2 linked regions of the Sus scrofa genome follow. The protein of the gene in region 1 purifies or fractionates together with the protein of each later gene. This does not show direct contact. Links are inferred from orthologs where the notes say so. Each region holds a gene or a part of one and is shown on either strand. Other genes may lie near its edges.

What was found. The genes of interacting proteins can lie anywhere in the genome.
Region 2: the proteins of FAM60A (region 1) and SIN3B purify together in Homo sapiens (affinity purification with mass spectrometry; 3 studies listed by BioGRID and IntAct, counting the BioPlex papers as one, with this or other methods). This does not show direct contact. The link is inferred for Sus scrofa from reciprocal best matches to the Homo sapiens genes SINHCAF and SIN3B.

What each region holds. Positions count from the first base shown.
Region 1 is NC_010447.5:42,942,304-42,949,400, reverse strand, and holds part of FAM60A (protein FAM60A), read right to left. Parts: intron 7,019-7,097; exon of another isoform or gene 6,975-7,018; intron 3,954-6,974; 5' UTR 3,936-3,953; coding exon 3,808-3,935; intron 2,163-3,807; coding exon 2,063-2,162; intron 1-2,062. UniProt on the Homo sapiens protein: Subunit of the Sin3 deacetylase complex (Sin3/HDAC), this subunit is important for the repression of genes encoding components of the TGF-beta signaling pathway.
Region 2 is NC_010444.4:60,786,767-60,794,611, forward strand, and holds the start of SIN3B (paired amphipathic helix protein Sin3b), read right to left. Parts: upstream 4,895-7,845; 5' UTR 4,840-4,894; coding exon 4,732-4,839; intron 4,497-4,731; coding exon 4,390-4,496; intron 3,074-4,389; coding exon 2,920-3,073; intron 2,374-2,919; exon of another isoform or gene 2,309-2,373; intron 1-2,308.

The DNA of each region.
Region 1 (7,097 bases):
AAGAAAATACTGAATATTTAATACCATTTAAAAAATGACACCTCTGTATTCCCTTGGTTCAGATGAATGTTTATTTGAAGGAGCCAAATTTGAAAACCACAGTTTTCTACTCAGTGTTTGAGAGCCCATGGGCACTTTTAATCGTCACATGGTATTAAAGAACAGTTTATCTAGGGGCTTTATTCTTTTTTTTTTTTTTTTGTCTTTTTGTCTTTTTAAGGCCGCACCCATGGAGGTTCCCAGGCTAGGGGTCTAATGGGAGCTACAGCTGCCAGCCTACACCACAGCCTCACATCACTGAGTGAGGCCAGGGATTGAACCCGAAACCTCATGGTTCCCAGTCAGATTGTTTCCACTGCGCCACAACGGGAACTCCTAGGGGTTTTATTCCTTTGAAGTAAGTAATAGCAGGAGTCTGCTGGACCAAAAATTCCTATCAATTTACATATGGTGAAAATGACCTAAGTAGGTTAAGAAAAACCAAGCCTAACAACATTTAACTTTTCTACGGGATGATGTTTTTCAGCTTTCACATTTTTGATTTTAACTTTACCACAAAGCAGTAACTATTTTTGTTACTACAATTTTTAAGGTAAAGAAAAACAAGAAATAGCAAACTATGCATTTTGACTAATTTCACTTATTTATTACCAAATGGGCAAGGGTGGGTGGGGAAGGGGCCCAGACTAAAATGAAGGTTCAGACCTACGCTTTATGCTCATTTTAGTCCACACCCTTAATCCCTGAGGTTAGCTATGTGACAGCAATGGCACGTTCTCTGTGGCCAAGCATGACCTTTGGTCTAATCCTATGTGGTCCCACTTCTCACGCCTTCATTCACATTTACTATTTGCAGATTTCTACCCTTACATATAAAGACTGACGTTACCTTCAAAGGCACAATTTAGATCTTTCCAGATAAGCTATTAATTAAAGAAAAACTCACATTTTTATAAATTAACAGACTCATAGAAACTATCCTAATAATGTAACATTGTCACCAAAGGACAGTGTAAGGCTAGTGTAAGAAAAAAGACAAAGATAAATGCTTGCTGGAGTTCCCATCATGGCACAGTGGAAATGAATCTGACTAGGAACCATGAGGTTACAGGTTTGATCCCTGGCCTCGCTCAGCGGGTTAAGGATCCAGTGTTGCCGTGAGCTGTGGTGTAGGTCAAAGACGAGGCTCGGACCTGGCGTTGCTGTGGCTGTGGTGTAGGCTGGCAGCTACAGCTCCAATTAGACCCCTAGCCTTGGAACCTCCATGTGCCTCTGGTGAGACCCTAAAAAGACAAAAAGACAAGCAAACAAAAAGAATAAATGCTTGCCTGCTTAAAAATGAGTATTTTATATAAATATAATAAATCTTCTGAAAGCACAAAAAAAATTAGACAGCAGACGTAAGTGTTGTTCTGATCACTGAAAATATTTTCTAAAGAATTCTAGTGACATTACAAAGTGAAATGCAAATAGAAAACACATTTACATGCCAGTTTGATCTCAACTAAATTTAAATACAGAATATTAATAGCTTCTGAGAGATTACTATGCATAATACTTTATATATATCTTCTCATTCAGTTCTCACAACAGCTCTGTAAGATAACTATTTATCTCTGCACTTTATAAATAAATGTCACGTGCCCAAAGTTCACAACTAGAGTGGTAAAGGCAGGATTCGAATCCTGTTGACTGAAAACCTACATGCTCATTATCAATACAAGCTAAGGTATATGTTTTCCTAAGAGATGAGAAAAAGGACCTATGTCTAACTAACTCTAGGAATTTCTGGGTTAAATCTGAAAATATGGGAAATATATACTGTGACTTTCCAATATGGGGATATCTGATACAACCTTAGGGAAACACCATATCAAGCTATTTCGCTCCCAAACATGCCGAAATGTCAAGTGATGATATCTGAGCAGCAACTAGCATTTTCTTTATTCTTTTCAGACTTTTCCACCCTGGGAACATATTATTTCCAAAATTAGGGGGGAAACTAATGTTACTTTAGTATATAGGAAAAGGTATAACTGAGAAAGATGAAAGACAAACTCACATGATTCCAGTTTTTTTTTGATCCTGCTGGCAACTTCTTCCATCTTTTCACAAGCAGGACACAGGCATTACAGATGTCTCCTGAACGAGTCTCATGTAACCTGATAAGAAAACAATCAAACCTTTATTAGTCTCCCTTAAAGGATTCATGCAAGTACATTTCTTTTAGAAAAAATTCATCTATTTATAGTTTATAGATGTTCTTTCTAATTGTTCTGGGTGATCTAGTGCCATTGTTTTCTGTAGTACATTTCAGAAATATAATCAACTTCTATATCCAATGAACCAATTCTATGTGCTGCAATTTGGTCATTTCACAACAATGTTTTTTAAATTAAGCACTAGTAAAATTTAAGACCTAAGAAGATCCTGGTCTCCATGGCTTTAAACAATGCTGTCCAATTAATCTTTCTTGAAATATACACATAATTCATAAGCAATAAAACACGCCACCCTTTACGTAACACAATGTGCCAAAATACTGTAGTTTTACAACAAACAAAATCAGATAGGCACTGTAATTTTTTTTAAATGATTGCACCTGCATGGAGGAAAGAACTCTATAGTTAACCAAGCTATTTTTTAAATGTATCTCTGAGGAACTTTTAACTTATTTTATTTTTTTGTATTATAAATATATATGGGAAAATAAAAATAACATTTATTACATATACAACTGGAAAAAAACACATTAAGAGAAATATGTAATTTCAGGAAGTTCCCAAGTGGCACAATTCGTTAAGGATCTGGCTGCCGCACCTGTGGCTTAAGTTGCAACTGCAGCACCAGTTTGATTCCTGGCCTGGGAACTTCCACATGCTGCAGATGCAGCCAAAAGAGAGAGAATGTAATTTCAAAAGGCAAGGTTGGTTGGTAAAGACTCTTTAAAATAACTACAAAGTTGGAGTTCCTGCTGTGGCACAGTGGGTTAAGAATTCAACTGCAGTGGCTGGGGGTGATGCAGGTGCATGGGTTTGATCCCTAACCCAGCACAGTGGGTTAAAGAATCTGGTGTTGCTACAACTGCAGCATATGCCACAGCTGCGGCTCAGATTCAATCCCTGGCCTGGGAACTTCCATATGCTACGGGTGTGACTATAAAAAATAATAACATCTATAACTACATAGTCTAGGATTAACAGTAAATAAACAAATGTTCTGATAAGAAAAACACAGTGGTGAAATTAATTCTAACATGAGAAATGGTTCAAGATTAAGGATTTTATTTCATCCAAGTATTTGCTGGAAAGTAAATTCCATTTTATTAAGCAGAGGTTTATTGCCAAAAGATAAATAAAGAATAAAATTATAAAATAAAAGCTAGGTTTCGGGGCAGAACATTAAGTCCTGTTAGTATCCTCAGCAGACTGGGCTAAATGGATTTCTATAGCTTAGAAAAACAATACAAAAGACAGAAAACTAGTTCAACTATTCTAACAGAGAATACGTTAATCTTTTTAAAAACATTTTTGTACATCCTGAAGTTAACAACAAAAGGGTGTATTTGGTTATAACTTCTAAGGGGCCTCACAATTAATTTGGCAGTTCCTCCTAATCTGGAAAAGGGTAGGCTGTCAGTATTGCTTGATTTGTTTTACGAGCAAGTGCCTTGAAATAAGAGATTAGAATTAGCATATATGTGATTTTAATTATTAGCACACTACTCCAATCCCTTTGCTTAGAAACATTTCCATATACTGAAATCTCTTTCACTTTAAAAATGGTACAAACATCAGATGGTCTTACCCAAAACAGCTCTGGAAATCCTTTTCATAGCGTTTACTGTCAGTGAAGCGAGAACTAGAGGATTTAGCTCTGCAAATACAGCAGCCCTCTATACTTCGGTACATCTTTGGCTTGTGAAAACCAAACATCTTTTCTTCTGGGCAAGTCTGTAAAGCCAAGGGAATTGACACAGCTTTGTTGAGGGCTCTAACAAGAAACCATTAAAAGAGAAATCTCTGCTCCACCCCACCCCCAGCAACGTGTTATTACATGACTGAGCCTGACAGGAGCACTCCGGGGAAGACCCCCTCCTGGCAAACACTCATCCTAAAAACTGCAGGAAGGAGGTATTTTCTCAAACTCCAGATTTTAAGCAGAAAATACAACACACCCTTCCCACTATCCTGTGAAATAATGGAATCATAACACAATGGAGGACACATCCTAAAATTTAAGCTAAGGTACACCCTTTTACTTTGCACCTCTGCATGAATGTGATTCCCCCTTGGAAAGTTTTGGACACGATATGATACTAAGCACAGAAGTAGTTCAATATGTATCACCTACACTTCTTTGCCCTATGGGAAATTAGAGGGGATTTCTTCTCTGATAAATGGGGAAGTTCTTAGCAGGCAATTGGGCCCTGAATTGAAACTACTGAAAGGGAGGCTGTAAAATTCACAAAAATCCAGGGTTATAGTAATTTAAGAATAATAATTTCATAAATCATTAAGACAAATTAAGAATGAGCTCACACTGCCTGACCAGTGGTGTGTCCTTCAGTTGTTAGAGAGGTCTTTGAAGCTCTTCAATGAGGTGCAGCGTCTGAGAGCAGTTAACAGTGGGAGGCCGATGTTCAAAAATAGTGAGATAAACCGTGATTCCCATGATCAAAAAAAAAAAAAAAAAAAAAACCCTCAACATGAAGCGAGGAAGGAAGAAACAGCTCTAGGGGTGGCAAAAACATGTACCTTGTAAGTAATGTAGAATATCCAAACCAAGGACCAACTTCACCAGGACATCTGGACTAAGAGAGGTGATGAAAAGGTGGTGAACAGAAACTAAATCCCAAGGGACAAATCCAGAGTGGCAGGGAGGGTGTGTGTGTGTGTGTGTGTGTGTGAGGGTCTCACAAAAGTAACAAATAAAGCATCAATAAAAGGAATTATTAATACTAATTAGATTTGTGGCCATAGTTTTAAGAGATGTAACCACAGAATACCATCCTTTTAAAAGTTCTTTTGGGTTGGGGAATACACTGGGGGTATGGGATAGAAATCCTACAAAACTGGATTGTGATGATCACTGTACAACTATAAATGCAATAAATTCACTGAGTAATAATAATAAAAATTCCCTGAATGTTAAGCCTGTGGTAAGCCATCTTTTTATGGAAGAGCCAAAATAAAAACACAAAAAGTTAAAAAAAAAGTTATTTTAGAAATACACTCAAATATATGAGGAAAACAAAAACATCATTATTTGTCTTTGGATGATCTCTTGCCTGATCTCATCCCATTCCAATTCTGTTTAGCCATACCAGAGCAAGTATTTATGAAAGTGATTCAGAGAAACAACCAAATAGTCAGGCTGTGTTTGTGTGCGAGAGAGCGAGATTGAGGGATTCTGAAATACAGAGGATTTATAATTTGTTTTTAAGAAAATATTTTATCAGCAAAGAATTAACTAAAAACACAAGTTTTCCTTTTAAACAGGGGCTATTGTTCATCAAGTGTTCTTCTTTGATGTTTTTGTTGGTGAGGGAGGCAGGCAAAAGGGAGATGGGGTGGGGCAGAAGTCCACTGATGCATTTCAATAATTAAGTCTAAACTAACAGTTATTTTAAGAATTGCTAAAACAAGAAAATAAAATATTCTTAGTTGACTGAGTTAATTGTTTGCACTAAATTAGTTTTTCGAAAGGAAATAATGAGGAAGGTGTTCTATATATGTAAAGGTGTAGGCCTGTGAAACGAGGTAGATTTTTTTTTTTTTCGGTCTAACAACAAATCCACATGAAAAGTGCCTTCTAAAGAAAATGGTCATCTGTTGCACTGGAAAAAAACAATGTCAAATGACACAGGTTTACAGAAACTTTAAAAGAAGAAGTGCTAAGAAAGTAGAAGTTATTGCTTTAATTTGTATATTCCTGTTTCGAGGCCAAAATGGAACAGAACTCTTTCTATTCCTTACACCAACCTGTGGGCTTTCCAAACCCCCCCAATCACCATCAAGGTCAAAAGTCCACAGTTCCCCTTGCAGCTTCATCAACAGCTCTAGGAAACTTCAGCCTCCCTTCTCAGCAAGGACAAAGCAAGCACAGCGAGAAAGGCCAGTTCATTCCATTAATACACAGACCAAATCCTATTACAACAGACAGATTCCTATTTCTACTCTCACAATCCCCTTCTCTCCCAGAAATAAACATGCCATCAAAACTATACAAAATTCAGATCATCTTCAATATGTAAACTACCATCACTGAGGCTGGATTTGACCATGAAGCCATAGTGTGCCCGATATCATGCTGGCAAACTGGTTAAGGAATACTAGAGCTACAGCTAAATACTGGGGGGAATGGAGGGGGGGGTTCCTTCTCACCAGCAGCTGTTGTGAATCAGTGTTTATCTTCAATATGATCTTTATTGGTGGGGAGGATTTCCATAAAACTTAACCAAGAGTACCAGTGAAACTATCCGTTCTTCAGCTTGAGGAATGTTCTTCTTAGACATCAGGGAAAATACAATAGCCTGATATCTCTGATTGATAATCTTTTATGCAGTTCTGTGATCTTGTTTTTCCTGACAAAATTATTCTGGCCTAGCATCTGAAAGAAGCCTAAATCCTAGAGTTTACCCTCTTCCAGGAAGTGCTAAATACAGGAAGGGGGCAGACACTTGTCCTAGGGAAACATACAAAGAGCACATGAGCCTTCTAATGGCCGGTTACCTAATAAACCTATTAAACCTTTTCTGAGCTTATTCTTGTACTTGAGAGGCACCTGGGAATCTGCAGCAAATACACAGGGGTTTCATTTTGGGCTTTGTTTACAGCAACCCAGTTAATCAGAGGTTAGTGTTTAACCATTCTGAGCTTTGGGGAAGACAGAGATTAAATGAAAATATTGTCACAAAGTCTAGAGACCCTAATGTTTAAAAAAAAAATAAAATAAAAAAAAATAAAACTTACCTGATCTCTGGGAAAAAACTAAGGAGACGAAATGGCTCTGAGACCTAGTTACACATATGAAAAGGTAGTGGGTAAGCAAGGCACGATTTGATTTTAAACTTGAGATTCCTATTATTTCAACAA
Region 2 (7,845 bases), on another chromosome or scaffold:
CCCAAGAGAGATGCTAAATGAACCCCAGTGTCTGGCACAAAGGGGGTGATACACACTTGCTCAATGGCTGCTCATCACCCTGAAGCACACAGTGAGCTGCCAGGAACAGACTGAACTTCTGAATGACCCTCCCCAGAGGGAAGATGGCAGCCTCTCTTGAATGTAAAGGAGTCACTATGTTACAAGCACTACTTCAAGGTTTATCTCTTTCCCTCTAAGCGAGCCCAGGAGCCTAGATTCATCATTTTCCCACCAACATCCAGGATCTTGTCCCTCTAATGTTCTGGAATGGGGACAGTCATGAACAAGACAGATGTGGCCCTGCCTGATCTGAAGGACTCAGTCTGCCAGGAGAAGGGAAACCAACGAGAAACAGTGGATTTTTTTTATTTCTCAGCTTTGCTATGCTATTTTGAAACACATAAAACAGGGTGATGTGAAAGGACATAGGGGTGGGTATAGGGGACTCTCTGAGGAGGTGACATTACAACTGAGGCCAACCAGACCCCAAAAGATGTTTACTCAGGAGGCCACAGCCACCCAGGAGACGTTTTTCCTGCCACGGTCCCGTCCCTCTCTGGCCATTCTGCCCACATCACAGCATACATCTATCTTCCCCTTAGACCAGTGTTCTCAACTGGGGTGATACTGCGCCCTGAGGACACCTGGCAACATCTATGGATGTTTTAGATGGTCACACCTGGGGGAGGGGGTGCTACTGGCATCAGGTGGGTGGAGGCCAAGGATGCTGCTCACACCCTCAAGCACATGGAATGGTCCCCATGAGAAAGAATGATCTGGCCCCAAGGGCAACAGTGCACAAAGGGCCCCCCAAAGGCCAAGACTTATTTTTCCTCCTCGGCACCTAAGAACTACTCTCTCCTTGTCTGTAGTTGTCAGGACTCATGACAAATTAAAAAATGGCAACACACACACACACACACACACACACACTCTCTCTCTCTCTCTCTCTCTCTCTCAGAGCTCTACTTCCAAGCAATGAAGCTGGAAAAACCAATAGAAAAAAAAATTACCAGGGTGCTGGTGTGTAGGGAGCCCTGTAAAGTTCACAGGGTACCATGGACCGAAAAAGGCCTCTAGGAAGCTGAGCAGACATCCTGTTTGTGCCTGGAGTGAAGCAGGGCTGGAAACGTGGCTGATCTGTGTACACGACTGAAACCAAGTGGGCGGCACATGCCCCAAGGGAACGAAAGGCTGTCCCTCTCCAAAGGAGGAAGGGGCCATATCTAAGGCTGCCGGGCTACAGCCAGACTATAAAACCCTAGTAAGTAGCTATTAAGGGAAAATTCTCATCAAGCCTCTCTTTGAGTTAATAGACCTGCGGTCACCAAATCCACCCAGGGGCAGACAGACTGGTCTTGTCTCCTTATCTCTCCAACAATTCCTGAAGCTGTGGAGTGGCCAGGGCCTTAGGGCTCTTGAAGGGAAGGTGAGGCTCGTGGGGAGATCCAGCCCAGAGAGCAGCACCCCAACAGGGCTTGAGAAAGGCGAGTTCCACACATAGAGTGCAATTTAGGCCCTGGACTCTGGCTCTTTTTAGCAGAGTGATGGTAATGACAGCCAGCATTTATGCAGCGCTTCAGATCCGGCAAAACGCTCCTGCACCACTGCTGCAGATGAGCTTGCTTTCCTCCCCTGGCTGTGATTGTTCTGAAGATTAATCTCCGCTAAGGCTTTTATCATCTGGAGGCTGAAGCGCTACCTCTGGATCCTGGGGCTCCATTTGCAAATATGAAATGGAAGCCTTTTGGAATTCAGTGGCTGAAGCCTTCCAAGTTCCTTTTTAAAACATACACACTCCTCAGCTTTAATGAGACAATGTGCTGATGGTGGAGCTTGCCTTGCGTAGAGAAAAGGCAGAATTTATGTGCCAGTCCCCCTTGGAGAAGGACCAGCCAGTGCCACACTGCCTCTTGCTGTTCTCTTTTCAAATCCTGACTCCTTAATTGATAGGACACTCTGCAATCTCCTTTATCAGAGGAGAAACCTACAAAATGCTTCCAGAGTAGATTTTTACCTTCCCCGCAAAAACCCCTGGGGCAGAGATGGAGGAGGTTGCAAGAGCTGGTTCCTTTACACCAGTGGTTCTCAACGCAGTAATTTTGCCCGCAGGAGACACTTGGCTATGTCTGGAGACATTTTTAGCTGTCTTGACTGGGTGGGGATCTAGTGGGTGGAGGCCAGGGACACTGCTAAACACTCCATGATGCCCTGGACAACACCCCCACAGCAAAGTGTTATGCCTTACACGGCAACAGGGTCGAGGAGAGAAAAAGACAATGGTTACCTTAGAAAAGTAAAGCTCAAACAGGCTTTTTCTCAGGGAGTCTGGTGAGCTCAAGCAAGGAGGGACTGCAGAGACAGAAGAGGCAGCAAGCTGTCATTTAAGAAAGAAGGGACCAAAGCCACAAGCCTGAGCTCAGTCAATGATCCTGTCAGCAGGTAAATGAAGCACAGCAACAAAAATGGCTAGTCACACATGCACCTCTGCTGCTTTTATTTTGTGGGTGGCACTGAGGGTGATCAGAAGGGGCCACAGGCCCAAGTACAAGTGAGGCCTGCCTAAGGCACTCAGAGGAAGAACCTCCAACCAAGACTTCAGTGACTGTGGACACAATTATCTTGACTGGACATAAAACTGTGTTAGAAGAATGCCTCCCTGGCACGCACAAACACATCCACTCCTGATTTAAATCTGCCAAAAGGATCAATTTGGGATGCAGAGCCTGCCTGGGTAGGTGTTTTGATCTATTTTGATTTGCGTTAGAAGCATTTCAGGAAAAAGACCAGATCTTCACCACCTTTCTAGCAATGAAGTACACGAGACACGCTGCCCGGCCTGCGTACCAGGGTGGGCTGTGCTAAGGTCAGATCATTCAAACCACGGCAGCCGCATACCTGGCTCGACAGAGGCGACTGTATGTTTAACTTGCCATTCTTGGGAATGTCTATTCTGTAGCCGAGAGGAAGGAAAGCGTTGAATCCGACAATGAGGTCAGGGTGTTCGTGGAATAGCTGTGACACTCGCCGGATGACTCCTGGAGTATCGATACTAGAACAAAGAAGAACAAGAGTGGGCAGAGGCGTCCTGGGGAGCAGATTAAAAGAGAAATCTACTCGTGACTCCCTTAACCGTGCCATGTCACAAGCTTCTCAACGGACAAAGAACCAACCACCCTAAAATGTGACTGGAGTGATTCTGCTGGTGGTGATCCGCTGCTAAGGCAGCCAGGCCTGGGCTCCCAGTGCCTTCCTGGCAAAATCCACAGAATATGTACACAGCACGGCTCCCAAAACACTGCAAGCACATGTGCTAGGTTCTGAAAATGTCAGGAGAGCCAATTTTAAATTGTGGGCTCCAAGAAGTGACATGTCAAAACCCTCTAAAGGGGAGATAAATTCCTCCATTTCGCATGAATTAGAGATGGACTATGACACTGGAGTTGTTCCCAGCAACTGACTATAATGCAAAGGCCATGCAAGTATGGAAGTGGCATAAGAATCGGAGGGCAGAGATGGGGTCTCCCTCAGGGCTGCAGTCAGGGCCAAGGCTTTAGCCTTGTGCCTGTGGAAGGCAACCAGGTGGGCCCTACCCTGTTTCCTTAGAGGGAGAAGCAGCACGGAGGGGATGTGACACTGGCGAATCTAAGTCAGACAGAACCAGTTCTGGTCCCGCCTCTGCCCCTAAGGTGGGTCTGGACAACCCCTTGACCCACTCTAAGCCTCAATGAGCATCCTTTCCAACAAGAGCACCATCGGGAGGGAGGTCTCCCATCTATCTCTAACCCTCCTGATTCAGTGCCTGTGAAAACAGCTAACATGTTTTAAATGCCTTCTTAGTGCCAGATTCCTTACTAAGCATTTTGTGCGCATTACTTCAAGTAGGCCTGGGACTGGAGTGAAGGGAGTGAGGAACTCACCTTGGGGATAAGATTTAAGAGGGACACAGTGCCAATACGGTCGATAACCAAAATTAATAACATTTTCATGCACTGCTTGATCAAAAGATAAAAATTAACTTTTAAAAAGCCTCGAAAAATGAAATTCACTTAAAAATCAACATTTTGAGTAAAGACGGGATCCTACCCTGTGTTTGCTCACTTGCCTCACCCCATCCCTGCCCTCGGTCCAGGAATCCCCACAACAGGGCCACGGCGGGGCGGGTGAAGGGGGGGGGGTCCCTCCCGGGGGGTCCCTCCCGTCCCAGTTTTTTTTTTTTTTTAAGAAGGAACTGAGGATCCGCTAAGTTCTGACCACCTGGGCAAGGTCACCCCGTCATGGGGCAGCCAGGGTAAGGGGCTCCCACCCAGCTCAGGCTGACTGCGGCCCAGGACGGTCCCCTGGGGTGGGCAGGGGCCCGGCAGGTACCTCTGGCTTTTGAATTCCTTCATGATCTCCAGGAAGCCGTTGTAAGTGGCAGGGTCGCTGCCGAAACGGATCTTCACCTGGTCCAGGTAGGTGAGGGCGTCCTCCACCTGCGGGGAGGGGAAAGTCCAGGTGGGCCGCGGTCTGCGGAGGAGGGGGCGGGGGACCCTGGCGGGAGGGGCAACCGGCTGGGCCTCAAGGAGCGGAGGTGGGGAGTCGGGGGTCTGGGGCTGCGCGGAGAGGAGGCCGAGGCGGGGCCGGGGCCGGGCGGGGCTTGGGTGGGGGGCGCCGGCCTGCGGGAACTGGACGACGGGGTGCTCGAGGGAGAGCTGGGGCGCCACTCACGTGCACTGGCAGCTTCTCATGGCCCGCAGAGCCCGAGCGACCCCAGCGGGCCCCGCTCAGCCCCCGGCCCGCTGGGCCGCCGCCGCCGCCACCGCCAGCGTGCGCCATGTTGGAAGTCGGAGCCACAGCCCGCCCCGCCCCCGCCCGGGGGCCGGCCGCGCATGCGCTGGCTCCGCCCTGAAGGCGGGGCTCTTTCAAGGACTCTGCGGTAGGATCTTACCCCATAAAACTGAAACGCGACTGTCCTGACATATACCACTGTGAGCAAACCAAAACCTGCCGCCTGCTTCTGTCTGGCCCCCAAAGCAAGATCGGAATAATTTTTACAATTTTAAAAGTTGGAAGAAAAATCCAAGGGAGAAGACTATTCCGTGACACGTGAAAATTCTATGAAATTTAAATTTCAGTGTCTGCAAAAATAAAGTTTTATTGGAACATAGGCATGCCCACTTGTTTACCTGTCATCTCTGGCTAATTTTGCAGTACAACAGCGGGGTGAATAACTGCGACAGACGCTAAGATCTACACAGCCTGATATATAATAAAATGTTCTTGACTCGTACTTGTAGGGTTGATGTGACAACCTGGTATGGGCACACAGCACCCTAGTTCAGGGCCACGGGGTTTGCCAAATTGCTCTTGACTTAGTCCTGTTCCTCCTCTCTTCGCTTCTCTAGTCCTGACCCCATGACTTCCCCACTGGAGCCTTTGGTTCCTGACCCTATCACTTCCCCACTGGACCCTCCCACTGGTTCGGGAGCCTCTTAACCAGTTTTTCCAGCCCCAGTGCTATCAAGAACTATCATTCCATAGCTGCTTCCAAACCTCCAAGGTCTTCCTATTTCTTTTTCTTTTTTTGTCTTTTGTCTTTTTAGGGCCGCACCCGCAGCATAGGGAGGTTCCCAGGCTAGGGGTCTAATTGGAGCTGCAGCTGCTGGCCTACGCCAGAGTCACAGCAATGCCAGATCCAAGCCGCGTCTGTGACCTACACCACAGCTCATGGCAACACCAGCTCCTTACCCACTGAGCAAGGCTAGGGATCAAACCCACAACCTCATGTTCGGATTCATTAACCACTGAGCCACAATGGGAACTCCAGTATCTTTTTTTTCAATGTGTGAAGAGGTGCAGGAAAGCTGAGAATACATTGGCAACAAGTGCATCATTTGCCAGGGGTCAGGAGTAGAAGGGTGAACAAAACCGACCAGGCTTTTACACTCACAGAGCCATCAGCCTTTCAAGAGGATTGGAATCAAATAATCACATACATAGATGTAAAGCTCACTTGTAACAAATACTTCAGAGAGAACATACAAATATAATAGTTATTGGGAATTCCTGTCATGGCACAGTGGAAATGAATCCAACTAGGAACCATGAGGTTTTGGGTTCGATCCCTGGCCTCACTCAGTGGGTTAAGGATCTGGCATTGCTGTGAGCTGTGGTGTAGGTCACAGATGCAGCTTGGATCTTGAGTTGCTAAGGCTGTGGTGTAGGTTGGCAGTTGTAGCTCCGATTGGACCCCTAGCCTAGGAACCTCCATATGCCGGCCCAAAAAAGCAAAAAAAAAGAAAAAAAAAGGTATTGTGTTCCAGTTACTATGGCTATGTAACAAGCTACCTCAAAATTTAGAGGTTTACAATAATAATAATATTTATTTTGCTCTCCATTCTGGAATTTAGGCAGACTTGGCAGGGATAGCTAATGCCTGGTCCCTCAGGGTCAGCTGGGCGCCTGGAAGGCTGAGGCTGGAATCCCCTGAAGGTTTACACATGTGCCAGTTGCTTCTTGCTGTAGATCTAAACCACTGCCAGTGCTGTTGCCAGGAATACCTACATATGGCCTCCTCATGTAGCCTGAGCTTCCTCACAACATGGCACCTGGCTTCCAAGCCCAATCATCCTGAGAGGAACATGTGAGCTAGGAGGAAAACTTATAGCCTTTCCTGATCCACTCTTGCAAGTCACAGAGAATCAAAAGTCCCTCCCAAACTCAAGAGGAGGGCAAACAGACTCCAGAACCTAGGAGGTGGCCAGATTCTGAAATAGCATGGGGGATAGGAAATATTGCCATGACCATTTTTGGAAAATACCACCCAAAGCACTTAATCCATTCTAGCAAGGAATAAGAAGAGGTGGCATTCTAGCTGAGTTCTGAAGGATGTATAAGTGTTCACCATGAAAGTCAGGGGAATGGCTGTGCAAAGGCCCTGTGGTGGGGAGGAGTGTAGCACATTTGAAGAATTAAAAAAAAAAAAGGCCAATGTTCTTGGACTGCAGAGGAATGAGAGAGGGAGGGAGAGGGTGCAGGAAAAGAGAGAAGAGGAGTTCCCGTTGTGGCTCAATGGGTTAAGAACCTGACATAGTATCCGGGAGGGTGTGGGTTTGATCCCTGGACTTGATCAGTGGGTTAAGGATCTGGCATTACCACGAGGTGTGGCATAGGTCACAGATGCAGCTTAGATCCAGCGTTGCTCTGGCTGTGGATGTAGGCTGGCAGATGCAGTTCCAATTTGACCCCTAGGCTGGGAACTTCCATATGCAGAGGTGCAGCCCTGAAAAGAAAAAAAAAAAAGTGGAGAGGACGGAGGAAGCAGAACTCTCATTCTTGTGGGGTGAGTTAAGGCTTTTGATCTTGGCATTTAGTGCTGGTAGAAACTGCACATGGGTTCCATGCAAGGAGCTGTTTGAGCATCTTTGAAGTTAGAAGCAAATGATCTGACTCCTCTGCAGAGAAGTGGTTGGAGAGGAGCCAGGCACAGTGCAGGAAGACTGTTTCATCATTTAGGCAGGCGAAGGACGATGGTAGCTTAGACCAGGCTGGGGGCAGGGGAGGTGGAGAGAAGGGAGTGGAAGGGAGTGATATTTAGAAGACAAAGCAGAGAACACATGATGAGGGGAAGAGGGGTAAGCAAGCATGGAGGATTCGAGGCTCCCAGCCCACAAAATGATTCTGCTTAGTTTCAGTGTGTTCAGCTAAGATGGCCCGAACCAAACTCTGAGGCCACAGAGTCTAAACAGTCAGTCCTCTCCACACCCAAACCTTCCGGCAACAGTCCCTGTCCTGAGAACCAATGGCATATATAGGCTTCTGTTCTGCCCCAGGGTTCTCACA